5 linked regions of the Neurospora crassa OR74A genome follow. The protein of the gene in region 1 interacts with the protein of each later gene in a pairwise test. Links are inferred from orthologs where the notes say so. Each region holds a gene or a part of one and is shown in the gene's direction. Other genes may lie near its edges. The genes, in order: NCU05991, cul-1, NCU06402, NCU01119 and NCU04461.

Evidence for each region.
Region 2: the proteins of NCU05991 (region 1) and cul-1 interact in a two-hybrid assay, tested with the Saccharomyces cerevisiae proteins (2 studies listed by BioGRID). The link is inferred for Neurospora crassa OR74A from reciprocal best matches to the Saccharomyces cerevisiae genes ERG27 and CDC53.
Region 3: the proteins of NCU05991 (region 1) and NCU06402 interact in binary tests that used the Saccharomyces cerevisiae proteins (3 or more experiments, as listed by UniProt). The link is inferred for Neurospora crassa OR74A from reciprocal best matches to the Saccharomyces cerevisiae genes ERG27 and ERG25.
Region 4: the proteins of NCU05991 (region 1) and NCU01119 interact in binary tests that used the Saccharomyces cerevisiae proteins (3 or more experiments, as listed by UniProt). The link is inferred for Neurospora crassa OR74A from reciprocal best matches to the Saccharomyces cerevisiae genes ERG27 and ERG7.
Region 5: the proteins of NCU05991 (region 1) and NCU04461 interact in binary tests that used the Saccharomyces cerevisiae proteins (3 or more experiments, as listed by UniProt). The link is inferred for Neurospora crassa OR74A from reciprocal best matches to the Saccharomyces cerevisiae genes ERG27 and ERG28.

The regions. Positions count from the first base shown.
Region 1 is NC_026506.1:3,161,765-3,167,990, forward strand, and holds NCU05991 (3-keto-steroid reductase), read left to right. Parts: upstream 1-2,419; 5' UTR 2,420-2,763; coding exon 2,764-2,834; intron 2,835-2,908; coding exon 2,909-4,265; 3' UTR 4,266-4,544; downstream 4,545-6,226. Other genes in the region: NCU12126 (hypothetical protein), read right to left, coding at 1-339, 404-466; NCU05992 (hypothetical protein), read right to left, coding at 1,047-2,228; NCU05990 (cell surface receptor/MFS transporter), read right to left, coding at 4,545-5,792. UniProt on the Saccharomyces cerevisiae protein: 3-keto-steroid reductase; part of the third module of ergosterol biosynthesis pathway that includes the late steps of the pathway. ERG27 is a catalytic component of the C-4 demethylation complex that catalyze the reduction of the keto group on the C-3.
Region 2 is NC_026504.1:5,761,169-5,767,343, reverse strand, and holds the start of cul-1 (Cullin 1), read left to right. Parts: upstream 1-2,653; 5' UTR 2,654-3,285; coding exon 3,286-3,356; intron 3,357-3,426; coding exon 3,427-3,496; intron 3,497-3,556; coding exon 3,557-3,573; intron 3,574-3,637; coding exon 3,638-3,729; intron 3,730-3,793; coding exon 3,794-5,685; intron 5,686-5,747; coding exon 5,748-5,936; 3' UTR 5,937-6,175. Other genes in the region: NCU05203 (hypothetical protein), read left to right, coding at 356-470, 576-1,672. UniProt on the Saccharomyces cerevisiae protein: Core component of multiple cullin-RING-based SCF (SKP1-CUL1-F-box) E3 ubiquitin-protein ligase complexes which mediate the ubiquitination and subsequent proteasomal degradation of target proteins.
Region 3 is NC_026504.1:2,629,047-2,634,911, forward strand, and holds NCU06402 (C-4 methylsterol oxidase), read left to right. Parts: upstream 1-2,249; 5' UTR 2,250-2,493; coding exon 2,494-2,510; intron 2,511-2,587; coding exon 2,588-2,693; exon of another isoform or gene 2,694-2,768; coding exon 2,769-2,912; intron 2,913-2,974; coding exon 2,975-3,628; 3' UTR 3,629-4,197; downstream 4,198-5,865. Other genes in the region: NCU06403 (hypothetical protein), read right to left, coding at 1-23, 118-134; NCU06401 (hypothetical protein), read right to left, coding at 4,214-4,426, 4,522-4,584, 5,218-5,667.
Region 4 is NC_026505.1:2,959,279-2,965,368, reverse strand, and holds NCU01119 (lanosterol synthase), read left to right. Parts: upstream 1-2,392; 5' UTR 2,393-2,588; coding exon 2,589-2,834; intron 2,835-2,903; coding exon 2,904-4,616; intron 4,617-4,674; coding exon 4,675-4,965; 3' UTR 4,966-5,233; downstream 5,234-6,090. Other genes in the region: meiosis-specific topoisomerase Spo11, read right to left, coding at 2-297, 352-664, 716-787, 849-929, 977-1,066, 1,127-1,235, 1,290-1,356, 1,419-1,791; NCU01118 (hypothetical protein), read left to right, coding at 5,746-6,090. UniProt on the Saccharomyces cerevisiae protein: Lanosterol synthase; part of the third module of ergosterol biosynthesis pathway that includes the late steps of the pathway. ERG7 catalyzes the cyclization of (S)-2,3 oxidosqualene to lanosterol, a reaction that forms the sterol core.
Region 5 is NC_026504.1:3,278,226-3,283,694, forward strand, and holds NCU04461 (transmembrane domain-containing protein), read left to right. Parts: upstream 1-2,377; 5' UTR 2,378-2,704; coding exon 2,705-2,770; intron 2,771-2,838; coding exon 2,839-3,300; 3' UTR 3,301-3,517; coding exon of another isoform or gene 3,518-3,741; 3' UTR 3,742-3,812; downstream 3,813-5,469. Other genes in the region: NCU04462 (3-ketoacyl-CoA reductase), read right to left, coding at 1,048-1,902, 1,974-2,117; NCU04460 (galactose-1-phosphate uridylyltransferase), read right to left, coding at 3,518-3,741, 3,813-4,614, 4,677-4,728, 4,801-4,901. UniProt on the Saccharomyces cerevisiae protein: Part of the third module of ergosterol biosynthesis pathway that includes the late steps of the pathway.

The DNA.
Region 1 (6,226 bases):
GACGTCGGTGGTGAAGTGGTAGAGGAGCTCCATGTGCACCATGTTGACGTTGGGCGATGGCGGTTCCGAGTCTTGGTAGCCCGTGGGGACTGGGAAGGGAGTGACGTCCGGCATGGGCATGGTGGATGCGGAACCACCGTAGCCACCGCCGGAGAAAGAGGCTACCGAGGCCGAGGCAGACCCGGCGCCGGAGGAGGGTGGGGTTGCGGCTACCGAAAGGTGATCGGCCGGGGATCGGGCCAGTTCATCGCTGCCAGTGTCGGCCCCGGGCAGAATGGGGTAGGAACATTCTCTCTCAACGGTTTGGCAGTTGATGCATCGCGGTCGTGTTTCGTCGCACTGTCGATGAGTGTTAACTCACTGTGTGATTAGTCTTGAGTTTTGTAAGTGGGCTACTACTCACCTTGATATGCCGTCTCTTGCACTCGAGACACCCTTTTCGGGACTTCCGATGACTTCTCCGCATCATGGGTTAAAGTGAGGGATGGGTAGTGTAAGTTGGGCTACTAAAACGGTAGGCTGCTGGGCGGCAAGGGGCTGCTACGTGTAAGACGCTGTACAGAATATTGCCGAAACATCAAGTTCCCTGTCAGTCTCGACAAGTCAGATTCGGGTGGCAAACCGAGAATGACATGCACAAAATGATTGAACTTTATCGTTGTCTCAAGTCGGGAGGACTCCAATGCTCCATGTTTGGCATTTATTGGACGAGTTTCAGAGCGTCTGGGGGACGCGTATTCATGATCACTTTGATTGCGTGTCAACAAAGGGCGCAGCTGTTGGAGCGCCTTGGGTCCGTGAGCAGCAGCCACACCGTGACTGATTAACTGTAGCGTAGGGTTAATAGCGAAGTGAGCCTCCACCGCTAAGAATCCAAGACAGATCCATTTCTCCGCTAAGCCCTGCCCACGGTGTCCGGTTTGGTACCGAACCCGAGGTTGACCCGTCCCAAGCCAAAAGCTCAGCCCCAATGTTGACTAAAAATACGACGCCTTCATCTCCCTGTTTCTATAAATCGTATGAAACACCCACGTGTTCCTGGCGTGCTACTGAGTATCAGGGGGTGGCAGATCCCACGGTCGAGCAGCTGAGGCTAAGGCACCTTTGTTGTTCTTGCTCTTTCTAGGGCTTCTTCTCCTGGCGGACGCAGGACCGGCGGTGGTGATAGGTCCGGGACCGACGAACCGTAGCACCCAGTCCCACACTGTCCGCGTCTTGTCCAGCTGAGGATGCGTCGTTCCTGTCACGGATAGGTCCGAAGGGGCATAATGACCGCCGGCATCTGTTGCGTCGAGCTTTGCCCGGAAAAGCAGGTGGACTTTGGTCAGACCCTTGCGCAGACTGGAGCCGTAGACCTTTTTGTTGAAGACGTTCAAGGCGACGTTTTGAATGAGGACCACATCCCTATGCCGCAGTCCTTCAAGTATGCTGCCCTGTACGGTTTCGCAGCCAGGGGGTAACCAGAAAGTGATGGTGAAGCCAGCTTTGGTCTCGTCACCCACGAGCACCTCGACCAGGGAGCGGTCTAAGCCCCAGCGAGTGCTAACCGACCGTGGCGGAGAGATGGAAATGATGCCGACGATCAGATTGCAGGTGATGGTCTGGGGTTGTGCCTTGACAAGGTAAGCGGCCGATGGGATATCCTTGAGGTCAGTAAGGCGGTCACCGCCACGGAATGTCAAGGGCTCTTTGACGTTCTCGTCCCCATCCACTGCATGAACCGTGGTCTCCAAGAATGAAGCCGTATCCAGATCCTCCTCGCTCATTGCCGACGTGATGGAGTGTTGCGACTCTGCTTCTCTAAGCAATGTAGCGTCCAGGTACGAGGATCGGACATGTTGATGCAACGTAAGGGAGTGCTCGTAGAACTGGGACTCCAAGTCGCCATGGACGACGGACGATTCGTCAAATGACGACGATATAGACGCGGTAGTAAGAAAGTCATCGGGCTGATCGACTGCTTCCAGACCGTGAGCTGGGTTGAAGCGGAAGCTGGAGTCATATTGTTGAGTGTAGCCGGTGAAAATACGTTCTCTCACGAGACTAAGGGATCTCCATGCGGCAGGAGTCGGAGCAGAGGCCGGGATGATGGTCTGCTCTTCCCGTGGTTGGAGGATGCCCATGAAGCTGGCAATGGGCTCATCGAACTCGACAAGTAGATCCGGGGTGGCCCAGTCAAGCGCCCGGCTGTCTGGAGCTCCAGTGAATATCAGGACTTTGGAAGCCATTCATGCTTGTGACAGTTATCATAAGAGAAGCGAGTTGTCGTAGGTTGTTTGGTTGTAAACGAAAGGAAAGAAGGAAGCCGAGTGGAAGTGAAAGTGCTGCCGGGCGGGCCCCACCACATGCCCGAACGGCACGGACTTCTCCAAGTAACTGCTCCAGGCCCGGAAGTGGTGCCCCGAGTTCGATTTCACGACTGGCATCTCTCCCACTTCGTCATCGAACAATACCTACCTTTTGTCAATCAACACAACTTGTACAATTGATCCATGGACTACCTTCGTTGATTCTCTTTTGTGAGACACAGAAACTCACCTGAAATCACGTGTCAGCATGTTGGAAGTCGATGAATGAAACAAGCAACCCAATCGGACAGGGGCCGGAAAGGCTCCACAAAATAATGGCGTCGAACGGGACCCCTTTCAGACCGACGACACGTAGGTACCGTGACAGCATCCCATCTCTCCTCTGTCGCAACTCTTTTGTGTCCGTCATTGTAGCCAGCAAGTCCGTCAAGCAAGTCACAACATCCGACTAAACATGGCCCCGGCACCATGGGATTCAGTCCCTCCTGAGGACACCCTCTTCGCCTTGGTAACTGGCGCCAACAGGTAAGTAATCATCATCTGTCTATCTATCCATGCCCTGCCTCATAGAGATGACATGCTAACCAATGCAACTTCAGTGGTATCGGCTTCGCTATCTGCCAACGTCTGATCGACGAGTATCTCGTGACGCGCTCCCTGACCTCCCACCTCGTCGTCATCCCCACCACCCGCAGCGTCAAGAAGTCGCAAGAAACCATCGATGCGCTCCGCCAACATGCCCGCGAATTCGCAACCACCTCCGACATCCTCCGCTCCCGTGCTGGTCCCAACTACGATCCCCGATCTATTACTAAGCGCATCCACATTCTCAGCGTCCAACTAGACTTGTGCAATCTCGCCGACGTCCACCGCGCCGCCGAACAACTCGTCAACGGCACCGTGAGCAGCCCCGCCGACGCCAACGATGTCTACTTCACCTCCCTCACCGACGTGAGGATACCCCGTCTCGATGCGGTCATCTTCAACGCCGGCATGGGCGGCTGGACCGGTCTCGACTGGCCCAAGGTCTTCCACAACATCTTTACCAAGGGTCTCGTCCAAGCCACCACCTGGCCGACCTTCAAGGCCGCCACGGCCGGACACGTCGTCAACCCCTTGCCCGACGCTAAAGACGAGAAGGTTCCCGAAATGGGTCAAGTCTTTTGCGCCAACGTCTTCGGCCACTACCTGTTGGCACACAAGCTCGTGCCGCTGCTGAGCCGCTCCGAGTTTGACTCTACCATTCCTCCCGGCCGTATCATCTGGGAATCCTCCATCGAGCCTGGGTGGAAGAACCTATCGCTCTCCGACTTCCAAGCCATCAAGACCAACGCCGCCTACGAGAGCACCAAGCGGCTGACGGACGTGCTCTCTCTGACCGCCACCCTGCCCTCCGCCCGCCCGTTTGTCGACTCGTATCTTCAGCCGGCCACCAAGTCAAACGCACCAGCTACCCCACCCAGAATCTACCTCGTCCACCCGGGCATCGTCCAAACGACCCTCTTCCCGCTCAACGCCTTCATGTTCTTCTGGTACCGCGTGGTGCTGTACATTGCGCGCTGGCTCGGCTCCCCCTGGCATCCTATAACGGGGTACAACGGTGCCGTGGCGCCCGTATGGCTTGCTTTGCAGGAGCAAGAGGCTTTGGATGCGGTGGACGCTGAGCACGTCAAGTGGGGATCGAGCACAGATTTCTGGGGGGAGTGCAGAGTCCTGAAGACGGAAGTGGAAGGGTGGGGGTGGGATGGGACGGTTGGAACGAGGAAGGAGCTAAAGAATGAGAAGGGGGAGAGGCGCATTGGGAGGAAGATTGTGGGGAGAAAATCCGGGGCGGTGGATCTTACGGAGGAGAAAAAGGTTGAGTTTGAGATGTTGGGGGTGGAGTGTTGGAAGGAGATGGAGAGGTTGAGAGGGGAGTGGGAGGCCAGGTTGGGCAGGGTTCTCGAGAGGCAGTGATGCTGCCGAGTGACGAGTGACGAGATGAAATTGGGTGGTTAAAAGTAAATGATATTCCTGCCTGCACTGCTTTGAGACGAGCAGAGCTGGGAGAGACCTATATATACAAAATAATGATCCTAATAAGTGTACCCAAAACCCGTCACAGGGGGTATAAACGACAATGTGCATCCACGTACATATAAAACAAGCCATAACACATACACCGTCATCCATCATCCATCATAAATAACATAACGCCATTGCGTACCCCGACCCTCAGCAAGGAACAGATGAAATTCACGCCGTCCCCTCCACCGTCCCATCCCCCCTACCATCGTCCGACCTCACCCTCCTCAAACTAACCTTGTCCCGCCGTCCAAACAACCCCAAACAAAGCGGCACCGGAACCGTCACCATAGCCACCACAGCATGAAACACCAATGCCCAATACATATTCCCATCCGGCCTCCCCTCTTTTCCCTTCTCCTCCTTCAAGGCCCCCGAAATAATTATGAATACCCCGCCCAATACCTGCCCCCCGCTCCACGCCAACGTGCTCGTCACCTCGGGACTAATCGGATGCGTCACCTCCACCAGGAACTCCACCACCACCGGCACCAGACTGAAACTCGCCGCGCCCAGAATGGCCAAAATGATATAAGGCCCAGCGAGGCCGGCAGAGTCGTGGGTGGACGGCATCCAAAGAAAAATAAGGTAGCAGATGCCAATAAGCGGGACGGCAACACGGATTGTAGTCAAAAACGCTTTCGTCCTGTCGATGATGGGCGAAGTGATGGCCGACACAAGCAGCCCAACAACGATGAGCACGGCCCCCGCGATGCCGGCTTCTTCGTCGGTATAGCCATGGGGTTCCATGATTTGGTTGAGCAGCGAGGAGATGGAGTTGAAGGTCCCCACATAAACGGCAAAGGGGACAAAAAGGAGCCAGAATTCGGCGTGGCCTAGGAGGATCGCGGCCGAAGTGCGGAGAGGTAATTTGGGCGTGGCGGAAGACGGGGCAGCGGGCGTGGGAGGCCGGGAGGGGATGAAGAAGGCGGGAACGGAGCAGATGGAGGAGATGATGGAGACGTAGAGAACCATTTTCGATATGTCGGATGGCTTGTCGACCCAGAATGGCACGATGAGCTGGCCGAGCGCGGCGCCAAACGGGTTGGCGAGGGAAGTCAAGGCGGTGGCGGCGACGCGGCCGCGGTTGGTGAACCATAGATCCGAGTAGCGGGCGGGAGCGGCTAGGACAAAGGGTTGGGCGAGCCCGATGAGGATCTGGCCGAACATAACGATGCCGAAGTGGCCACCTGAAGGAGAGGAAGAGTGGGAGCCCCCGTAGCGGACCCAGTTGCCGATGAGCAGAAGGGCAGCGGCAGTGGTGATGGATAACTTGGGGCCGAGGTGCAGGACATAGATGACCAGGGGCGTGATAAAGGCGAAGGCGAAGAGGAAGGCGGTGCTGAGCCAGTTGATGGTCGTTCCGGTGGTGCGAAAGTAGGCGGCGGCCTGGGAGGCGACGGGGGAGAAGGTGAGCCACTGGAGAAGGATTGTTAGTTTAGGTTTCTCGGTTTGGGTTGGAGTGACGAGTGATTTATCATCTGTGGAAGTTCTTGTTCTCTGTTCTCTCAGTGAGACATTGTATTTCGTTTTCATGCAGGGCATCGCCAGAACTCGACGAATGAAATCATGTTGGACACGGAAACTGAGATATGATCACAACAACACCACAACATCAAGTCCAGTCTAAGTGGCGTACACGAACAGACATTGGGAGTATAGATCAACTTTAAAAGGCCCAATAACATCGTGGCGGGCGCTAAGAGGTGGCCACCACCCGTTTGCGTAGAGGTAGGACGGGCGGCCCCAATCCCGTACACGAGATGCTTCGCTTGGTGCTCAAGGCACGAGGCGTGGCTGCCGTTGTAAAAAGGGAGGGATCGATATGCCACCAACCAACCACGCCCACAGTT
Region 2 (6,175 bases), on another chromosome or scaffold:
ATCCGTTGCCCTCCGATAACTGCGTGATAAAAAGACGGATCATCTTGCCGCCAATTCCCGTTTCTGATGCGCGGCTGCTGCTGCTGCCGCTGCCCGGCCACTCCGATAACCTGAGGGGTGCAGTAACCTGACCCACCCCACCTACAATAATACCTCTGCCGCCGATCCGGAGTGACTTCGACTGCACATCCCGAGCTACCTCTACCCATCGTCACGTCAACACTACTACTTGCTACTACAACTTACCCATTACGACTGGAACATCCGAGACTCTAGTTCCAAGCCGCCCGCCATCAGCCACCCCCCAACGGGCTCGGCAAACAACAAACAAAAAAAAGTAGTGTTGAGTGCCAGCATGACGGCCGCGAATCCGTCTCCTCCACGCTCGAACCAGTCCACTCCTTCTTCCGATAACACTGATGGTGACACATTGCTTCCTCCTTTGCGTCCCAAGCCAAGGACGCTGCCTCGTATGGATCCCCCACCCGACATCAACTTCCCAACATCATCTTTCTCACAATAATAAATCAGAATATGTGGTTCTGTTGCTCTGAATTCTAACTCGTGTCATGTAGCATGGATCGACTCGTATGAAGAGAGATATGGACAACCGTCCACCGGCCAGGGGGGGATCTTGAACCGACCACCCCCACGCACAGTCCAGCCACAACACAACGGCACGCCAACCGAACCACGAAGGGTATCGAAAGATGGATTCGTGTACGAACCAGATGGGCTAGAGCGGAGGAACGATTCCAAGATGAAACTGCGGCGGATTCTGAGACGCGGGGACGGCATGGAGCGCGGCCGGAAATGGGACCATCTCCGAACGGACGAACCCGTCATTCTCCACCGGAATGCGCACTACACGTCCAACTCGCCCTGGTCCGAATTCATCCACTCGTCGCAGTGGGGCCACATGCCGAATGAGCAGTCGGAAGTGGTCGACTACCAAACACTCGAGAAGCTGCAACCAAACTTGAATTTGCCCGTGCACCTGCCCGAATCCGAAGACGTTTACAAGTCTCGCACCGGGAGGAGGTCGGCCTTGTACAAGCGACTCTGGCAGCACGTCCTCCGCCATCCCTTGGTGCCGTTACTCTTCCGGTCCCTCGTACTCATCACCTCCATCTGTGCCCTCGCCCTTGCGATTCGTATCTACCAGCTCGAAGGTCGGCGGCGCTCCAACCAGCAAGAACTACAGAATCAGATTCTCGCTCGATTACGAGCCCTGCATTCAGCCTCCAATTCCGAAGGATACGTCGACCAAGAGCTTTCCCTGATAAGACAGATCTCGCCCGGGTCGTCAGAGCGGACTCAAGCGATAGTGGCGATTGCGGTGGACACGATAGCGATTCCCTATATCGGGTACATGCTCTGGGACGAATACACGGGCCGCCCATTGGGACTAAGGCCGGTGACGCAAAAGAGCGGGTTGGTGCTGATGGATGTGTTTTTCATCGTGTTCAAGGCGGCCAGCACGGCGTTGGCATATGAGGTGTTGGTTTATCATAACAGTCAAGATCGCTTCACGGACCATTTCAGCCAGGCGCTGGCCGCGTTTCAGCTGCTTGGGCTTTTTTTCTGGTTGACCAACTTTACGGTCAATGTGTTTAGGCTGGTAGTAAAGCTGGGAGGCGGAGATGATTTGGAGACTCAGAGGGGAAGGTAATGACGGTTATAATGGGCGGTCAAGCCCCGAAGGATATTGAGAGGGAAAGAAAAACAAAGCGGGGGAGATGAATCACGTCGAACGTCTCCAACCACCCGCATGGGAGCATACTTACTTGCATTTTCTCGTACTTTGTCGATACCTCAGCACGGTTCTGCCTCTGTGTTCTTTTGGGTGGGGTTTTTGGATTAGCAAATTAGCATACAGCGGTAACAAATAGTGTTTGATCAGTTGGTAATGTTGGTGATGTTGATATTAGCAAGGATGGTGATGATTATTACTCGATTGTATATGCATTATGAGACATGAAAAGGGGAACGGATAGCGAAAGATTTGACATGGTAAGGAGATATCATATTGCCTGCCGTGAGCTCCCAGCAGAAAAATACATGCAGTTTAATCGAATTCTGGCCACCAATGGTGTCCTTCTACAACATTAGCGGTTAAAGGGGCTGTAAACGGCTGACCTACCTCTACCTACAAGTAGCTACATCGTTGTCACTGTTCTGCTTTCTTGTATGTAAAATGCCCCGCCAGCTGTACATATGTGCCATCCCCATATTTTATTACTTCAGTTCCGGTTATTGTATTCATATTGAGAAGAAACATGGTATTATATCAATATAAGGTACATACCTTCATCAGATCTGTTAGCCGCCATTGTTAGATGTACCGGTAATGACGGAATGTACACTAGATGGTCGCCCGTCCCGCATCGCAGGGCATAGGTCGTCTCCATCCCCGCCACTTTCCCGTCCATGGTTGGTTCCCCACAATTTTGCGTGTTCGCGGTGGACGTTTACTGGCGGGGGGGCCACTGCTCTGGAGCCTCCATGCTGCTTGCTGTCAGTGTCAATCGATGCCTGCCACGCCGCTGCAGCCTGAAAACCGTCAACGAACGACGGCATCGCTCTATCATCCGGGCATCGACCACGGCAGCAGCAGCAGCAGCAGCAGCCTCGGGGGGCCAATCTGGAAACTGGAAACTCCACTCTTCAACTTGATTACCTACACTCAGAACAGAACATTGAAACCTGTCAGAACACCACCACAACAACAACAACAACAACAACAACAACCAGCCAAGGTACCTACCTCTACACCTCACCTCTAGGCTGCGACCTCACACCCGTCACTCCAAGGGAACAATCCTTTCTTCACCCGACCCGATATCCGATCAACCCGTCTGTCTGTCTGCTCACGGTCACGGTCCTTCTCCCAGCCGACACCGACGGACCTAAGGACGTGGTGACCCCCGCCATCCATCCGACCTTCCAGACCTGTGGCGCGCCTCATCGCTCAGGACGAGCTTCTACTTCTACGCCTCTGGCTGCCACCCAGTCCATTTACCCTTCGTCACCGGTCGCAGTCAACGCGCTTCCAACCTCAAGAACGACCGGTCGCCCAGATCAAACTCGTTCTTGCCCCCCCGACAGCCTCTGGACGAACACACGCGACCCAACACGACCTGGTCAGCTTGAGTTTTCTCACGGATTACGCCCCTCGTCCACCACCACTTGTCAGCCGGCATATTATTCCCAACATCGCATTCTTTCTTCGATTCCCGGCGCACGATCGCTCTTCAAACGAACATACACATAGACACAACAAACATGCCTCCGGCAACCATGATGATGGGGGCGTACGGGCAGCAGCCTTCTGGCAGTGATGGTATCGACAGCACGTATGTTTTCGCTCTCTTCGCTGCTGGCCCCTCTGCCTCCAAACAGCCGTACTGACCCTCTGCCAATCAGTTGGCCATACTTGCAGTCTAGTATCAACAAGATCATGACCAACCTCCAAGAAGGCCTCGACATGAGCAGTGTATGTTTCTTCCTCGCCCATCCGTCCACGTTACCCCCCGCTAACACACGCCGTTTGTAGTACATGGGAATCTACACGTTAGTTGGACGGATGCCCTATTTGTCTATACACTCCTTCAACATGGTACTAACTGCGGCATAGGGCGGTGCACAACTTCTGCACATCGCAGAAGGCCAACGGCGGTAGCAGCAGTCCGAGTAATCACCTTCCGGGAATCGGGGCCCAGAGAGGGGGTATGTTGTCTTTCCCTGCATTTGCCCGTTAAACAGATTGAGCAAGAGGACTAACATGCACCAGCCCATCTGCTTGGTGAGGACTTGTACAAGAAGCTGGCCAACTACCTGACAGACCACCTTAAGCACCTAGTCTCCGAAGCGGAGGCTCACAAGGACGAGGCCTTGTTAGCTTTTTACATTCGCGAATGGCAACGCTACACCAACGCCGCCAAGTATATCCACCATCTCTTCAAGTACCTGAATAGACACTGGGTTAAGCGCGAGATGGATGAAGGGAAAAAGAACATTTACGACGTCTACACGCTCCACCTTGTTCAGTGGCGTGACGTGTTGTTCCAGGCTGTCTCTAAGAAAGTCATGGACGCCGTTCTCAAGCTAGTGGAAAGGCAACGCCTCGGTGAAACCATCGAGTACACCCAGATCAAACAGGTGGTCGATAGCTTCGTCTCACTCGGTATGGACGAAGGCGACAACACCAAGACGACGCTGGAAGTGTATAGGTACCACTTTGAAAGGCCGTTCCTGGAGGCGACCAAAGTCTTCTACCAAAACGAAAGCAAACAGTTCGTGGCCGAGAATAGCGTTGTCGAGTACATGAAGAAGGCCGAGGCTCGCCTGGCTGAGGAGGAGGAGCGCGTACGCATGTATCTGCATCCAGATATTGCCCTACATCTGAAGAGGACTTGCAACCAGGCCCTCATCGCGGAGCACTCTACCCTGTTGCGTGAAGAATTCCAGGCCCTGCTGGACAACAACCGAGAGGACGACATGAGGCGGATGTACAGCCTCCTTTCTCGCATTCCCGACGGTCTGGAGCCTCTGCGGACTCGTTTCGAGGCCCATGTTCGCAAGGCTGGTTTGGCGGCTGTTGCCAAGGTGGCTGCAGACGCCGACAAGCTGGAGCCCAAGGTCTACGTCGACGCTCTGCTTGAGATCCACACTCAGTACCAGGGGTTAGTTGAGCGCGCTTTCAACAAGGAGCCTGACTTCACCAGATCTCTAGACAACGCGTGCAAGGAGTTTGTGAACCGGAACGAGGTCTGCAAATCGGGCTCCAACAAGTCACCGGAACTGCTGGCCAAGTACACGGACGTGCTTCTCCGCAAGAGCAGCACCGGAGTGGAGGAGGCGGAGCTCGAGAACACGCTGACGCAGATTATGACTGTGTTCAAGTACATCCAGGACAAGGACGTGTTTCAAAAGTTCTACTCACGCATGCTGGCGCGCCGCCTCGTACACAGCAACTCCAACTCGGACGATGCCGAGACCTCGATGATTTCCAAGCTCAAGGAGGCCTGCGGCTTCGAATACACCAACAAGTTGCAACGCATGTTCCAGGACATGCAGATCTCCAAGGATCTCAACACAGGCTTCAAGGAGCACGTCGCCTCCCTCAACATGGACGGCAAGCCGCTCGACTCGACGTACTCTATCCTCGGCACCGGTTTCTGGCCGCTCGTTCCGCCAAACACCAGCTTTGTTGCGCCCGCCGAGATCTCGGCCGACTGCGATCGGTTCACCCGCTTCTACAAGAACAAGCACGAAGGCCGCAAGCTCACTTGGCTGTGGCAGCTGTGCAAGGGCGACATCAAGGCGAATTATATGAAGGGCGCTAAGATGCCCTATATCTTTAGCGTGTCGGCGTACCAGATGGCCATCTTACTGCTTTTCAACGAGAAGGACCAGTACACGTTCGAGGAGCTTGCGAGCATCACTCAACTCAACGCGGACGTGCTTGAAGGCGCCCTAGGCATATTGGTCAAGGCCAAGGTTCTTACCGCGGAGGGTGGAGAAGGTGGCAAGATTGGACCGGGAGCGACGTTTTCGCTCAACTACGACTTCAAGAACAAGAAGTATCGCATCAATTTGAATGTGGGCATGAAGAGTGAGACCAAGCAGGAGGAGGCGGAGACGAACAAGACGATCGAGGAGGATCGCAAGTTGCTGTTGCAGGTGTGTGACCCCCTACACCCAGTAAGCGTGTTGATTAGAAAGCTAACGCAGAAACCACACAGTCCGCTATCGTCCGTATCATGAAGGCGCGCAAGAAGATGAAGCACCAGCAGCTTGTCTCGGAAACCATCAACCAGATTAAGGCACGATTCATGCCCAAGATTGGCGACATCAAGAAGTGCATTGAGATCTTGCTCGATAAAGAGTACCTGGAGCGGTTGGAGGATGATGAGCTTGGGTATCTTGCCTAAGTGGTCTCTGATGCTGTGGTAGGACCAACCACAGATACAACAACCTCGGAGTCTGGGTACTGAAGCGGTTATCACCAGAAGAGACAACGTGCGGGGTAAACAAATTAACAATGATCAAGCGGGAAAAAGTACGAATTAACTAGCCTCGATAGAATTCACACATACCGGTATTGAACAACCAGCGTGCTTTGTTTGTTAGTTTGTGATCTCAAGCGAGAGAGAGGGTGTGCTGGAAGGTT
Region 3 (5,865 bases), on another chromosome or scaffold:
GTACGTCCAAGTGACGCACCTTGCTGTCAAGAGAAAAGTCATGTTAACACCACCGTCCATCATCGAGACAAACTGACAAGTATGTCCTTATATGAGAGACCCCGGAAGAGTACTGACTCGGCCACGATCGCCATGGTTCGACTTGTTGGTCCCCTAACCCTGCAAACGAATGGTTCTGGACTTCGGGACAATTACAGCAGGTAATGTGATATGAGGATGGTGGAAAGTTCCGAACTGTTCGGGATTTCGTCTCGCCGGTGCTTGGCTACCAGGCCCTTTCGCCGGAAATACGAAGGGAAGGGTAAGTAAGGTTCTCGCCACAAATGGCCTCTCAGCCTCGCTCAAAGACGCGTAAAAGTGGCGATATGGAATCTCGGCAACAACACTGGAAATAGTGACTGGATATGATAAAGTGCGATCAGGCCATATGGCCGGTACCCGTACTACGCCCCCACTTTTTTGGACCTCGTAGAACTCGCACCCCCTAAAGTGGGTGCTCACGGGTACTACGGCCACACCAGTAAAACGGCCAGGTCAGGGTTAGAGGTGCAGTTTTGAGGCTCGATTCGTAGGGTAAATCACAACTTCCCAACATATAGAAATTTCTGAGAAATAAAAAGCTGGACGGATACATTACTCTATTCTAACTATCCTCTAGCTCTTTCTTTATTTTCAATTAATTATTGAAATACGTTGTGGGCGTTCACTGTTTTGGTATCGTTTATCTGATTTGCACCTCTAACCCTGGTGGCCGTTTTAGTGGTGTGGCCGTGTTATTCGTGAGCACCCACTTAGGTGGGTGCGAGTTTGCGAGTCCCAAAAAAGTGGGGGCGTAGTACGGGTACCGGATGTGAAGATTGCCGAGATGGTCGGTTCTTGTTCAAGGCTTTGGGCTGTCACTGTCAAACCCGGAAATGTGGGATGAGGTGGGGATGTTTCTTTGGGCTTGACAAGCGGGGCGGGCGGGCGTCCGAAACCCACCGAGTGATGATCGATGACAGGATTGGTAAGGCGGGGATGGGAGCCGACTGACTTGCAACTTGGTTCGGCTGCGATCCGGCCAAAGGAGAAATGCGTGGTAAGATGAGGACAGTTGAGCCTCATCAATGAATGACCTGATGAGTTGATGACCTATTGTCGGCAAGATGTACACGTGTAGTTGCCGAGGAGAGGTGCGACAGAATATTGTAGTCAGACACAACCAAATGAAGGTCGAATCGAAGCTCAAATGTCAGCCTATGATGTCCAAGGATGGATTGAAGATGCCAAGCCCAACTTTCAAAGGCGGTGACAAACTGCCGATGCCAAAAGCCTCAAGTGGTCAACCACGGCATTGAAGTCAGGGACACAACTCGTAGTTTGGCAATGTTCTCTGAGCCATTACGGAATACCAGATGTTTTGCAAACATACCAGTCTGTGAAAGCATCCACGAACGAGCTTTGGGGAAAAAAGTGACGATCCCATTAAAACGTAGCGTAGCTGCTCCGCCCGCTGTCGCCGCTCAGGTACGTACCGTATGGAAATTACCGATGCCAACTGTGCCAGTTCGCCGTCAGTGGCTCAACGTGCCAATCCAACTGGTCCATCACGCCAACCCCCCTGGCGACCTGATTTGCCTGGGTGGTGCATGGCAGGATGGCAACGAACCAGCCGAAGAAGAGGTGGGATCACGGTGTGGATGCAATCGTTCCATATCACTGGCAAACTCCGGGCAATTCGAGGTTCTCGATGGGAGATTCCATGTCAAAGGGATGGAGATGTGTGTTGTATGGTAAACTACAGTAGCCTTTTGTTGTCAGTCAGCCGACCTCTACTAGTGTACCAACCGCAGTGGTGAGGCACGGTAAGTAGTGTACAGGTATGTATGAAAAAGTTATGGTTGAGATCAATACCACACACATGCCGCCGTATCTCCGCGTAGATCACTTCAACTTCCATTCCTTATCTGATGGAACTTCGCCCTCAGTTTCCCACCTCGCGGTGACGTGGTCAGTGCCTGTCACCCAAGGAACTCAAAAGATAGGAGCCCAAGGAGGAACAATGGCACATCTCAATGCACGGCAGAGCATGGTGTTGGGATTTCATTGCTTGGCGGGCTCTCAGTTTCATTGAGCACTCGCTGAGAGTCGCCGTCCGGTCATTCGAACTTGGTGAAACAACATCCAAGAGTGGGTCCGGAAGGCGGAAACAACAGCTTCGCAGTGGGCCGATTCTGGGGTCATTCCCGCCATTGGTCAACCCAACACGTCTCTCAGGGGCTCCCGCCAAAGGACACCAAAGGCAAAAGGACTTTAAAAAATCCAGCAACCCCTAAACTTGTCAGTCGCCTTTCCCTAGCATCCCACTTGCAAGAGGACGCGGTCGATTGTTTCTTTTTCTTGCCCCGGTTTCCTCCACGCGCATAGTATCTTCTTTCCTCGCTACAGGTCCCTCCTCGCGTTCCAACACCCAGCAACACCTAATTGGAGGCGCCTATTCTCTATTCGCCCACCATGGCTTCGGCAGTCCTGTACGTTCTTGTTTACCATCGTGCGCCTGTCAACCGTGCCCAGATCGAAAGCTGACTCGTATCGTCCCGTCATCTAGTAATGCGACCGTCGCTGGCCTGAGCTCGACAGACACGTACTTCACCGTCTTGGAGGAGGTTTCCAAGTACAATGTTCAGCTGAGCTACCCCGAGAAGCTCTGGGCGGTACGCGGCCCCTGCAACCCAACCCCGAAACGCCGGGACGAGACACGAACAAGGATAGCTAACGTTGGACGATAGGCGTGGTATCTGTGGATGCAGAACGACGTTCTCGCGACCGGTCTCATGAGCTTCTTCATGCACGAGATCGTCTACTTCGGCAGGTCGCTCCCGTGGATGATCATCGATGCTCTCCCCATGTTCAACAAGTACAAGATTCAAAAAGTTAGTGCCCAGCCAAGCATGACCTGAGACTCAAAAAGCAAAAGAAACTAACAACCACATAGGAAAAACGCCCCACCTGGAGGGAACAGTTCGAGTGCGCCGGTCTCGTTCTCCTCAGCCACTGCACCGTCGAACTCCCTCAGATCTGGCTCTTCCACCCCATCGCCACCTACTTTGGTCTCGACTATGGCGTGCCCTTCCCTCCTCTTTGGAAGATGGCCCTTCACATCTGCATCTTCTTCGTCATGGAGGATGCTTGGCACTATTGGAACCACCGCGCGCTTCACTACGGCCCTCTCTACAAGGCCATCCACAAGATTCACCACACGTACAGCGCGCCCTTTGGTCTCACCGCCGAGTACGCCTCCCCCATTGAGGTTATGCTCCTCGGTATTGGTACTGTAGGATCCCCCATCCTCTGGGTTTCCATCACCAAGGACCTCCATCTCGCCACCATGTATGTCTGGATTGTCCTCCGTCTCTTCCAGGCCATCGACGCCCATTCCGGCTATGACTTCCCCTTCAGCTTGCGCCACTTCCTCCCCTTCTGGTGCGGTGCTGAGCACCACGATCTCCACCACGAGCGCTTCATCGGCAACTATGCCTCCAGCTTCCGCTGGTGGGATTACTGCCTCGACACCGAGGCCGGTGAGGAAGCTGCCAAGGCTCGCCGTGACAAGAAGCTTGCGGCCATCAAGGCCAAGAAGGCCCAGTAAATGGGTGGAGTTTATGGATCCGCTGTTATGATACCGTTCACGGTATTCGTACTGTTGTCTTCCAAGGTCTTCTATTCGACCTCACTAATTTTGGACAACGCATCACCAAACAACGGGGAAGAAGGAAGGGAAGAACCACCTAACGATGGGAATTGGTCCATGAGACAAATCAGGGAAATAAGGATTCGATAAAGGCCAGAAACGGGTTGGTTTATTTTGGCTGAAAGATAAGAAGAGAGGTGCGGTTTTGGTCGAACACGGACCAACCGATGCACACCTCCATGCAAAAAAGGCGTTTGGAAGAGGAAGAGAGTTGCGTCGCACCTTTCTTGCCGTACGCACGCGGTGGTGCAGTTGGGGAGGGGGGCATTTTCCTTCTCGCTTCTATTAATTCTTGTACATAGCTGATTCCTTCTTTCGGCGTCCTCCTCGGCAAAGCACCACCCCGTGCCCAGCCCTCTACCCCTTCCATACAAAGCCCTTTTGATAATCTAGTAATGAGAGGATCATGAAAGTAAAATACATAACCTAGATACACTTACATACACCCTTGATGACTCCTGAGTGAAGCTTCTGTCAATTACTTCACTTCTTAAGGTGCGTAGGCGTGCAGCAATCACCAGACGAAGCCACGGCCCGGTCGGTCAAGTTGGGCATGGCGCAGCTGGCGCCAGCTTCCGGCTCAGTCTCGCCAAAGTCTTTGGCCAAGGAGTCGCAGATAGTAGCTAGTTCAATGTCCAGGGATGAGAGACCTTTGGGGACGTGAGTCGTCCAGCGAATGAAGGTTGTGTTGAAGACCTAGGCAGGGGCGGTGAGATTAGAGAGGAAGATAAGAGGGAGAGGATATGTGGCAAAAGAGAGCATGTAGAGGAGAGAGAGAGGATGTGGCTTACATTGGACCATTCGGGATGGTGGTTCTTGAGCTTGCATTGCAGGGAGACGGCAGTCATAAAGTCCTAATTGGGAGGCGTCGAGATTAGGATCTTGGTTATAACTCGGAATTATCTGAGTCTCTGGGTGTGTAACACAGTCTTGCATGCCCTATGAGACACGCTCGGTATATTGTAGCCACGCAAATCGTGAGTAATAATGGGGTCGGAGCTGTGTGCAACAAGGAGAAAACGAAGAAAAGAGCAATCATATATGGGAGGGGGGGGGGTGCATAGTAAAGATAAAGCAAGAGCCCGAATTTCAAAACCCATCCAAGAGTCCAAATCGGACGAGAATAAGCACTTCAGCCAGATAGACATAGTAGAGAGGTAGGTAGGTATATCAGATACCTTATCCGTCATAACTGGCTGGCTGGCTGGCTGGCTGGCGTCGCAGCTCGGTTTCTTTCTTTCATTTGTCCGTTCGGATTTTCCTTCATCATCAACACCACTTGTGCGTGCATGTATGTGATTTGACCATCCAAATCCGAAGCAAATCCCAACAAATGCGATGACACAGATACAGGTCGGTAGGTGATTTTTGAAGAAAGAAGGATAGACAAGTAGCCATGAAAACAAAAAGGTACCACAAACACTTCAACCACCCAAACGAAGAAAAGTCATTTCACTCAACAAAAAGTAAAGTAGAACAACACATACCCAAGTCTTGGCAAAGGTCTTGAACTTAAAAGTCCTTTCGATAGCGAGACCCTGCTGTGTAAGCGTCCACCTACCACCACCACCACCGGTGGACAAAAGCTTCTCAAGTGCCGGATCAAGAACCGCTGGGTCGGAACCCTCAGAGAATTGCGGCTTCGTTTCCGAAGGCGAAGACGACATGTTGCGAGATTGTTGTTGTTGTTGCAGTGACGGGCTGCGCTGTTTTTGTTGCTGTGTTTGCTGAAGATGATTATGCGTGGTGGTGGTGATGGTGGCGGGTTTTGGTGTTGTTGTTGTTGTTGTTGTTGATCGTTTGGAGGTTTGAATGGAGATGGAGAACTTCCTGGTCAAAGAAGTGTTCTCGGCGAATGTACGGTAGTTGGGGTACAATTTGGTAAAAAGAGTCCGCGATTTCGTTGTTGGAGCGAGGGTGAGGGACATGTTGATCATTTTGTCCCAGGAAAAGAAAGCTTGGATCAAAAGAATGGACTTAAAGAGGGTCGAAGGTGATGAGGTATTGCTGTGCTGTGCTGTGTTGTACGTACCACGAAGGTGTGTGGTGTGGTGGTGGAAGGTGAGAATGAGGTATACTAAGAAAAGGTGAGGTCAAGGTGAACATTGATGGGCACGTTCCTCACCGTGAGGGGT
Region 4 (6,090 bases), on another chromosome or scaffold:
ATCAGTGCGAGTTCACATCCATGCTGTGTTTCAACAGTCGTTCATCCAGCCAGTTCGTAATATCGCCAAAATCGTCGACCGCCTGTATCTCCGCCTTGATGTTGAGCATCAACATTCTCTGCAATTCAAGCTTGTGCTCCCGCTCTGTAGCGTCTAGTCTCGCCGTACCGCATATGTCTCGCAAAACGCTGACGGCTTTCTCCCTGTCCCTTTCGCTGAGTGACGCTGTGTAGTCGCTTGGATGGCTTTTCGTTCTTCGACTTCTTGGCCTCTTCGCCGGACGTTCATCTTCGAATGCTGTGTGGTTTGAGAAGTCAGCGAAGTCATGTACCTGCCTGACGATACACTCACCATCCACAGAATAAGCTATTGATTCCTGACTTGAGAGGTCTTGGCTCGATTGACTTCCCTGACTGTTGGCGGAGCAATCTTGCGTCATCACTGTGTTTAAGAGGACATCGCTGCTGCGAATTCCGAGCCATCTTAATCCAAACACCTTGGTGCGCTCCTCGTGGTCCAGACGTTGGCTGCCATATTGGTAAGTCCGTAGAACAGAGATCCCATGGGGATCGAAGTCGACCAGGGCAAACATGAGTAAACGCGGTCGAACCGAGTGGATGGCGGCGAGGAACTTTCGTGTAGCAAGGTCGGGATATCCCTTTCCCTGTGTGTAGTTGTCAGCGTTGTTGCTACAAAAGAGGTCACATAGCCTTACAGTCACCAAGATACCACTTCCTGCTCGAGAGACTGTATAGTAGCGCGAAGCGGAGAGTGTTCGAAAGGTGGCCTGCTCAAACACGTCAGTGGAAGAGTCTTGTTAAGGATATCACAGGTGGACGAAATCATGCCTCCTTTTCAATGACCAGCAGCCATTTGACGGACTGAAAGTCGATCTTCCCAACTGCGCTAATTGATGGCAACAAAACACCCTGAAATAGTCAGTTAAGAGAGCTGCTAGGCGGACAGCAATGCTTACACTATCGGAAGACTCGGCACAATCGATCTTGGAACCGCCACGCATGATGAGTTCTACCTGGCCAGCAACGAGGCCCTTTGCGGTGGCGACCTGAAACACCATGAGCATCATGAATGGAGGAGATTGTCTGGAAAAGTGCCGAATACGTACAATATTCAAATCATTACGTCCCACTCCAAGTGTGAATGCAAGATTGTCCACCATGTCATCCACCACGCTCTGTGACCTGAATAATTCCATGTTTTGGTAGTAAATGTTCCTGCCGAAGTCAGCAACAAAATTACAAATGGATCAACCTTCAATCATTACGGACCTCTTTGTGACTAGAGTTCCAGACAGGAGTGCTTCGTGAGAAATCTCGATGATGCGGAACAAGGCTTCTGTATTTGATATAATCAGTGCTGCGAAGCTTGGCCAACAACAACTTGGTGGAGTGACTGACCAAATCTTCGGAGCTCTTGCGGGTTGCGTCCCGGAAAGCGTACGGAATCCATGTGCCGCCCATCCCTTGGATTTGAGGCAGAGGCAGTCGGGTCGAATACTTGCGCGTTAGTCGACCGCCGATATGGTATGGTAATGGGACTTCCGACACTGATAGCATCCACAATGGTCTCGAACAAGGCCTCGATCTTTGTGAGGGCATTATCGCTAGAGTGGCTCTGTGGTACGATCACGATGTTGTGAGGTACTCTAGCACTGCTAGCTCTTACCGGAGAAAGCTGCTCTAGAGGACGAGAGGGCCGTTCATGGGAGTTGGTAGCCGTGGGTTGAGAAGGTGGATGCAGGTACTGGTTGCGTATCGGACAAAAATACATGCTTGCAACAAACGGTAGTAGTAAGATGAGAAACCAATGTTGTCTAATAGTGCACCTGTATTTGTAACCGATGGGATACCTGATGTAAGCCAGAGCAGGGCGAAGAGTAAAAGTCGAACGGCATCCAAGGTTTGACCAACTTCAGCTGCAGTGAGTCCAATTGGGTGGGTGGACAAGCGGAAGCTCGAATGAGAACGTGTTTGAGAAGAAAAATTGTGATATTGGTGGTATAGTAGTGAGTACCAAATTACTTCAGAAAGAACAAACATCGTCAGGAAGGTGCTTCGGATGTTCTCTGTCTTTAAAGTGCGCCTTCCCATGCTGGAGGTTGCGAGTGTCTGATAAGTACTGTAGTACTTAGAGGTAGGTACCTCTAAGTAACTAAAGTAAGGTAAGTAGAATCGGGATCAAATGTCGTTGCTGGACCCACCCGACTTACACAGCACAGTGCAAACCAACCTGCCTGGTCCGGCACCATCCGATCTGCACCACTGCATCTCCAGACCCCTCCGCTCTCCCCACACCTCGGGGCCCCCAAAGATCTTGGCGCCATTGGCCCTGTCAAATGCTGGGTCGAAGCTCCAACTGAACTTTACGGGAACACGACACGACCCCTCCCGATTGGATTGGCGCATGGCCAAATCAGGGGTAATGTTGTGATGTCTGTTACGTCGTCAATTCTTCCTAGTGTATCTCTCTCCCAATCCGTCCTATCCTCTGGTCTGGTGTCGATCTTTGTCTTTGTGAATTTTCTTTTTCATTCTTGCTTATCCCTCCATCAATAGCCTCGCCCGTCCATGATGGCCAGGAAGCAGGCCACTGAAGCCCCGGCGGTCTCAAACGGATCACCCAAGAAACGGTCCAGCGCCGACAGCGATAATCACAATGTCAAACGGCCTCGGCTACAGGAGAGCACCGATAAGGCGCGTTGGCGTTTGAGCAGTGAGGGCGGCCGACACACATGGCACTATCTCGAGGACGACGAGGCTGCAAAAGAATGGCCGCAGTCATATGCTGACAAGTACTTCCTGGGAATGCCTCTGGTAAAACATCCAGCCGTAAGCTCCTATGATACCGATGTCACATGCTAATCTTGCTCGCCAACCTTACAGGAGCTCCCCGAACTTCCCAAGGCGACGAACCCCCTCGATGCGGTACGAAACGGCCTTACTTTCTTCGAAAAGCTCCAGCTCCCCGAGGGCCATTGGGGTTGCGAGTACGGCGGTCCCATGTTCCTCCTCCCCGGTGTTGTCATCGCTCGCTACGTCACCAAGAACCCAGTCCCTTGGTACTATGCTACCGAGATCAAGAACTACCTGTTTGCGCGAGCGAACCCCGTCGACGGCGGATGGGGGCTACACATTGAAGGCGAGAGCACCATGTTGGGTACGACGCTGAACTATACGACGTTGCGCCTTGTGGGTGTGGAGGCAGACCATCCGGTCATGGTGAAAGCGCGAGCAACAATGCATAAGATGGGAGGTGCTATTTACGCGCCACACTGGGCCAAATTTTGGCTCACGGTATTGGGCATTATGAAATGGGACATCGTAAACCCTGTCCCGCCCGAGCTTTGGCTTCTCCCCGACTGGGTGCCGATTGCGCCGTGGAGATGGTGGATTCATATGCGCCAGGTCTTCCTGCCTATGAGTTACCTATGGTCCAAGAAGTGGCAGGCGGAGGAGACGGACTTGATTCGGGAGTTGCGCAATGAATTGTTCGTGGAGGACTGGAACAAGATTGATTGGGCTGGAAACCGCAACACCATTCATCCCAACGACAACTACCACCCAAAAACCGCCTTCCTCAACACCGTCAACTGGCTTCTTGTAAACATCTGGAATCCCGTCTTCCGAACCAAGTACTTGGTAGAGAAGGCAGAGGCATGGGCGTCGGAGCTCATCGACATGGAGGACGAAAACACGGATTATTCTGACCTAGCCCCGGTCAACGCCGCGATGAATACCGTTTGCTGTTATGTTCGGGACGGACCTGGGGCCTACTCTGTACGAAGGCATGTGGAAAGGCTGGATGAGGTACTCTGGGTCAACGCCGAGGGTATGCTCTGCAATGGCACAAACGGCGTGCAATGCTGGGACACTGCCTTTGCAATCCAGGCTATCATGGACGCCGGCCTGACTGAAGACCCACGCTGGAGGCCGATGCTTATCAAGTCATTGGAATTCCTGGAGGACCAGCAGATTCGAGAAAACGTCAAGGATCAGGATAAGTGCTATCGCCATCCCCGCAAGGGTGCTTGGGCATTTAGCAACAAGGACCAAGGGTATGCAGTCAGCGATTGTGTCTCTGAAGCGTTGAAGTCCGTCATCATCCTGCAAAAGACGCCAGGCTTCCCTACTCTGATTGATGACCAGCGTATTTTTGACGCCGTTGACACAATGCTTACCTACCAAAACCCATCTGGCGCCTGCTCATCCTACGAGACTCCGCGCGCCGGCCAGTGGATGGAGGTTTTGAATGCCGCGGAAGTGTTCGGCAACATCATGGTCGAATATGAATATCCCGAATGCACCACGGCCGTTCTCACTACACTCTCGCTTTTCAAGAAACACTGGCCCAATCATCGCACAGCCGAGATTGACAACTTCATCACCCGCGCTGTCAAGTGGATTAAGAGCAATCAGAAGCCTCATGGTGGTTGGTATGGCAATTGGGGCATTTGCTTCACGTACGCCACTATGTTTGCTTTGGAGAGTTTGGCCAGCGTTGGTGAAACGTATGAGAACAGCAGATATGCCAAGAAGGGATGTGATTTCCTCGTCGCCAAGCAGAGGGAGGACGGTGGTTGGTCTGAGAGCTACAAGGTAAGTCTCTTCGTGCCTGGACCATCCTAGATCTTGTATGAAGCTAACCAGAGAGCAGGCATGTGAGACGGGCGAGTACGTTGAGCATCCAACTGGATCCCAAGTGGTCATGACCGCCTGGGCCCTTGTTGGGTTGATCAAGGCCAAATATCCCAATAACGACCCGATCAAGAAGGGCATCAAGTTGATCATGGACCGTCAGCAGCCTAACGGAGAGTGGCGGCAAGAGGCTATCGAGGGTGTCTTCAACAAGAGCTGCATGATTTCTTACCCGAACTACAAGTTCAGCTTTCCGTTGAAGGCACTGGGCTTGTTTGCCACACGGTATCCGGACGAGAAGGTCGTTTGAACGCTCAGCCGGATGCAGATATTGCTAGATGACGTTGCAAAGTTCGAATGGAGGAATGATACTGAATGGCCTACATAATGTTAATACATATGATTTGATGTCAAGATACTGTAATGTCTCGCGAAATTGGGATCCGAGAAATGTGGAGGTGAACACCTGTACTGTACAATTTTCATGACCTTCCTATAGCAGTGAATTTCCCTACTACAGAGGGATCTCGGAGGCCCAATGGGGGAGAGATTCAGTCTGGAAATACAGAGTTGTCTTCATATTTTGATTAGCGGATTCGTACCTATACGGTTTTTTTTTTTTTTTTTTTTTTTTTTTTTTTTTTTCCAATCTATGAGACTCAACGCTATCTGTTTAATTCAGTTCCTTTTGGAGATGGTCGTCGGCTTGGGTCCTGCCGAATATAAACCTGGCCATCAAGGTGCGCACTTGCTAGTTCCGCTACAGGGCAAACAGCGGATTCAATTCAATATAGGAAGGCGGTGAAAGAAGCATGCGCATTCCCTCCCCCTCCTGCCGGCAGAATCAAGCAAGAACCCCACCATGCATGACCGAACGGAGCTAGGCGCTAACAGTTACGTACCCCTTGATATAAGAAGTGGTAGCTGGTTCTTTCCGTTTCCATCAACCGACACCTTTTTAAACCAAACGCAATCCATTCTCTCCAACAACAGATTCCCGAGACGCTCACCTTCTTGTAGAAGTCACTTTCCAATCAAGCCCATACGTCAGAATCTCACTACAAAATCAGTTGTTTGACGCTCAACCAGAATGTCAGCAACCACAATCGCTCAGAAGGGCATCGATGCTCTCGCGAAGGGTGATCATGCCACGGCCATCACAAATCTCGACAAGGCACTCGAGTCTTCCAACTCACCAGCGTGGCTCCTAGCTCGCTCCAAGGCACATCAAAAGGCCAAGAATCTCGAAGCAGCGTTACACGATGCCGAGCTTGCTTACCATGCCGCAGCCGAACGTGGCTCTGGCACATCACGCAGCCACATGATCCAAGCCCAGTATCGCCGCGCTGTCATCTACTACCAACTCGGACGTTTTGCTGATGCAGACTGCTGTGCTAAGTGGAGCATGCTGCTCGCCGAAGGTCGACCAGCGAGA
Region 5 (5,469 bases), on another chromosome or scaffold:
TCGGCACAAGTTGGAGCTCCAAGGGTGCAGCGTGATCTGGCAGCTTCGTGATTCTCCGCGCTTTGCTGTGATGCTGTGTTGTCGCTCTTGCTTCGTTTGCCCTCTTGCTTCAGGTCTCCCAAGTTGGTTGGTTGGTTGGTTGGTTGCTTGAGGTCACAAAGTCGAGAGCGCGGTGCTCGCTGCAGTCGGTGGGTGTACTGCTACAATTGCACCACCATCAAAGAAGGTCTGGGAATCCAGGGGAAGCTATAAAGTCCAACACGATGCGACGTGGTCGAGGAGCAGCGACCACAGCTTGAGGTGAAAGCGGTTGAGTTGTTGTTGTGGTGTTGAGAGCAAGGAAGCTCTGCGCGCGATTGGGCAATCACTGTCGAAGGTGGACTGTGGATGAACAGCAGAAGATTGAAGAGGCTGGCCCGCTCCGGCGGCGGGCTACCGTAAACAATTTTTGGCTGGAGAACTGGGACAGCGGTACGTACCTCTACCGCGACCGGGCAGGAATCATTGGTGCCCAGGGCGGTCGTTTCGCGGCTGGCAACTGGGACCTGCGACCTGAAACGCGAATTTTGGACGCGCCTGTGTGCCGGAGCAGTTGGACGGCGGGGACCACAGAAGAGGCGCTAACCTCTTTTTGGAAGCATGTTTTTCTACCGCCTATAGAATGTCGAAACCGTCCAATCATCGTCGAGAACGTCATCGAATGCCCGTCACTAGAAGTCGGATTTGCAACTCAGAATATCAACTATAGACAGACAGCAACTGCTCTTGATCTGTACCAAAAATACATTGTGCAAAAATATGGTTGCTTCATGATCATCGTTCAATTATCATCTTTTAGCTTTCTGTACATTCCACTCACATTATGAACTCGTCTGCTAACAACGGGCCGAAGTTTCTCATTTTCTCTACAATAGATACAGGGTCCGAAGGGTGGATGTAACGCAGGCCAATGGGATGTGTCTTTTGGCTAGAGCCATCATGCCACAAGTCCATGCTCCTTCCCAGCTTCACGTGAGAAACATGGTAGCTAGAAGCTGCGATATGCGCTTACTGCTTCTTGGCTTCACGAGCGGCCTTGCGGAGAGCGCGGTTGCGGATGTCGATGTGCATGTTCTTGTTCAGCCTGAGGGTAAAGTAGCTGTAGGCACCGACAGTGTTCTCAACAACCCACTTGAACACAGCATGGCTCCACCAGGGGGTGTAGGTGTTAGGAAAGGGCTCGGAGCTGTTGAGGCCAACCTTGCCGAGAGCAGCGCGGACGAACTGCTTGGGGTTGGGGATGAGGAGGCTGGTGCGGCGGATCTTGCTCATGGCAGTGGTAACGAGGTAGCTGACAACAAGGTGGACATCGACGCCCTGGTCCTTGAGCTCGGCAGAGAGAGCGCTGCTCCAGTGCTGGAGGAACGCCTTGCTGCCGCTGTAGGTGGCAAGGTAGGGGGTGGGCATAACACCGGCGAAAGAGCCCATGGTAAGGATAAGACCCTTCTTGCGCTGGGCGAGGATGGGAGCGACAACCTTGGTGGTCTTGAGTGTGCCGAGGCAGTTGATGGTGACAATGTTCTGGAGCTCGTCGCGGTCGGTCTGGAGGAAAGGAACGGGGATGCTGTGGGACTGGCCAACGTTGTTGATCAAGATACCAATGTCGAGGCCCTTGATGAGCTCGGCGAGACGCTCGTAGTCGGAATCGTCGTCCTTGGAGAAGTCCATGGCGAAAGTCTTGGCCTTGAAACCATCCCATCTGAGCTCGAGCTCCCTAGCAAGGACGTCCAGCTTGGACTGAGTGCGAGAGACGAGAACGAGGTTGAAGCCCTTGGAGGCGAGCTGCTGGGCGAACTCCTTTCCGAGACCATCGGAGGCACCAGTGATAACAGCCCAGGTGCCCTTCTTGCCATACTTGCGGAGCTGTCAAGGTTGATGTTAGCCACATTCACCTGACAATCTTCAGTCCCAAGTAAGTTTGCGAAGAGACGTACGTTGGTGCCGCTCAGGATGAAAGCGTTAAGGAGCAGCTGGAGGAAAGCGCCGACGCGAGTAGCGACGTAAAGGGCGCCGATGCCAGCAAGGGCCCATTGGCCATATTGAGGGACAGTGCCCCAGATCTCGGCAACCTTATCCATTGCGTACGGACTGTCGGCGAAAGTCGTTGATGAAGGAACGCCTTTGGTTTGAATCGGGGAGTTGTGACACTTTCAAAGTTGGGTCCGGTCGCAAATAATTGTTGGGAACTTTTTGGAGGACCTGGGGTCGACTCGCCTACTATGTACACTTGCATGTGTCAGCCGCCAAGATTTTCGAGACGTCCCGCCCCGCGGCCCCGGCGAGAGGACCTGGGCAGCTGGGTTGTCCCCGCTTTTGCCGAACCATCACTCACTCGACGCCGCCATTGAACTCCGACGGAGCTGGCCATGGGCCAATGGATAGAGGAGAAGGGGGAGCCTGGCGGATTTTGTTTGTTGTCTCCAAAATGTCGTCCAATGCCCGTGGACCTGCGTCCATGATGCTACGATGACCCCTGTCTCTCGCGCTTGAGAGTGGCCCGAAGTGTGGTTTCCATCCGATCCTCGAGCCGCTGGAACAAATGGAGAGCTGCAACAGGAAGGGCAACTAACACCTCAACAACAAAAGGTCTTCTCAATACAAATATCCTGGACTTACGATAGCTTTCTTCCCTGACGACAAACCGCTTCATAACTGTTTGAACCAAATGGACGCTATCAAGGCTTTCCTGCCTTCGGGCGAGAAGGGTCTCCTTCCCTACTACCTCTTCTTTGTAAGTTGACGGTTGCTGGTCCCCCTGACTCTTCACATGGTTTCGCAATTAACACGCCCTTCGTCCAGGTCTCCATCGTAGCTATGGGAAACGCCCTCCAAAACTACACTACTCTCCACTACACGCGACGCCTTTACAACGGCCGTTTCGTCCCCAACCCTTCCCTGCCGCCCGCAAAGGGCAAATTCAGCCCGGAGGACAGCGTGGACGTGCTGAAGCCCGTCTCGCCCTCAGAGGCGGAGAAGAAGGAGGCGGCTGCCAAGGACCAAGTCACGCCGCTGGCGGCCCGCGTCTTCGGTACCTACACCTTTATGGCCGGCATCATCCGCTTCTATGCGAGCTACAACCTCGAGAACGAGTCGTTGTACAAGCTCGGTATCTGGACCCATGTCATCGCCGCCGTGCACTTTACGAGCGAGTTCTTCATCTACAAGACGCTGCGTTTCAGCGGACCTCAGATCTTCCCCTTCTTGGCGGCGTATGGCGGCACGTTGTGGATGGTGTTGCAGTATGGTTACTACGTCCAGTAAAAGACAGGTGCAGCTACCAGCTGGTCTTTGGGAATCAAAGCAGGAAGCAGTACATGGCCCCCAAAAAGGAATGGCGAGTGGACTCGGATCATGACCATAAGAAGCGCGATCGCGTATTAGGTGAAATAAGACTCCGACGATAGGCTTTGTGGAAGATGTACCACTTATTGATACCCTTTTCGGTCAAGAAGCGAAGCAAGCGCATCATACATTTCCACTACTGCAACGACTTGCGATAGAGCTCACCACCGCAGTCTCTGAGTCGCGCAGCCGCTTGCTCCGGAGTGATATCCCTCTGCGGCTCAGCCATTAACTCGTATCCGACCAAGAACTTGCGCACGGTAGCAGACCGAAGAAGTGGAGGGTAGAAATGCATATGGAACCAGCTCGTCTCAGCCTCTTCCTCTGTGCAATCCAACGGCGCCTGATGAATACCCGAGCCTTCTCATACCGTTAGCTCCTTTCTCCCTTTCTCTCTCCTTCGGGCAGTTGCAGAGGGTAGTAGAACTTACTATACGGAAAGTTTGTCTCGAACAAGTTATCATATCTTCTCGTAACCTCCTGCACCGCCTCGGCAAACTGCAGCCTCTCCTCGCTCGTAAGCTCCACCAGCGCGCGCACATGTCTCTTCGCAATGACGAGCACCTCAAACGGCCAGACAGCCCACCAAGGGCAGACGACCAAGAACCCGTCGTTCTGCCAAACCACACGCTCGCCCTTGGCCATCTCCACCTTGACGTAGTCCTCCAGCAGATGCCTCCCCTTGTGCTCACGGTGGTACTTGGTCATCTGCGCCAGCTCCTTGCCCGGCTCCTCGGGCAGCGTGCTCGTCGTCCAGATCTGGCAGTGCGGATGCGGGTTCGAGCAGCCCATGGCCGCGCCCTTGTTCTCAAAGATCTGCATGTACCGCAGCTGCTGCTTTTTCGCGGGCTCGACTTCGCCGTCCGGGTTAGGTGGAATCTCGCTGAGTGAACGCGCGGCGGCGTCCCTGAGCGGATGCGAGGCAGACAGGTGGCTGGCGTAGATGCGCGTCCAGGTCTCGATCACGGGTACGATCTCGGTCGCGCTCATGTCCGCCAAAGTGGTGTCGTGCTTGGCGGAGAAGGTGAGCACGTAGCACCGGCCGGTGGCGGGCTGCGCTTGCAGGAGGAGAGAGGCAATGTCATCGTCGCCGTCACCAGCGGCGTCCTTCCGAGGGTGGTACTCTTGCTGTTCCTCTTTGACGGCGCTGTAGTCGTTGACGAAGGCGAATGTGTTTTTGTAGTGCGGGTTGGAGTCGCCTTGGGCGCGCTTGTTGCCGGGGCAAAGGTAGCACTGGGTTGCAGTTAGAGTGAGTGAGAGTAATATAAAGTCATGAAGGGACGGGGATTACGCACCTGGGGATCATACTCAGGAAGCTTGTTGAGGGCTGGAGCCTCTTGCTGTCCTCTGATTGCAACTCGTCAATTCAAACTAACCCGCTGTATTTCTTTATTTCCGGTGTGGCTATCGAGGACTCACTGCCATGGCCTCTTTGTTCTGTGAGGCGATACAAGCAGCCAAGAGCCGTTGAGCGGGTTGTAGCGACGATGCGAGATGTCGTCAAGCACTTTGTCGGTCATGGTTGCGCTTCAAGAGGCTTTCAGGAAAAGAGTAATGTGGGAATTGGAAAAGAAGGCTTGCGATCAATCAAGGGTGTTGATTGGGAAATCAATTTTCTTATAAGTGAGGTGTTCAATAATGTAGATTGGTGGTTGGTATTTTGCACTTTTGAAGTGTATTGGTAGTCATATGCTCGGGGATAGCATCCCCGAGGCAACCTGGTCACACTTACCGGATTGTTTTTATGGGTACAACGGCCGGGTAGCAGACAAGATGAAAATGATCCGATCTGTTCGGTGTTCTTCGGCCTTATTGCCTAGAAGCACCCTACAGATCAACGGACCGTTTATTTACAGGAATGAAGTCGCTTGCCTGATAGTGATACACTGGCTCAGACTGGTGTGCAACTTTTGATGAGCATTCGAACTCGCTTCTTTCCCGAGTTTTCTGAGGCGCAAAAGGCACTGTCATTATCAGACAGCAGCCTGCATCAGGATGAAATTCATATTCCATGTGTACCTGCCTACTTCAGCTACTGCACTGTTATGGAAGTGTGGAGGGCTACCTCTAAGCTGCTTCAGCCTCCAG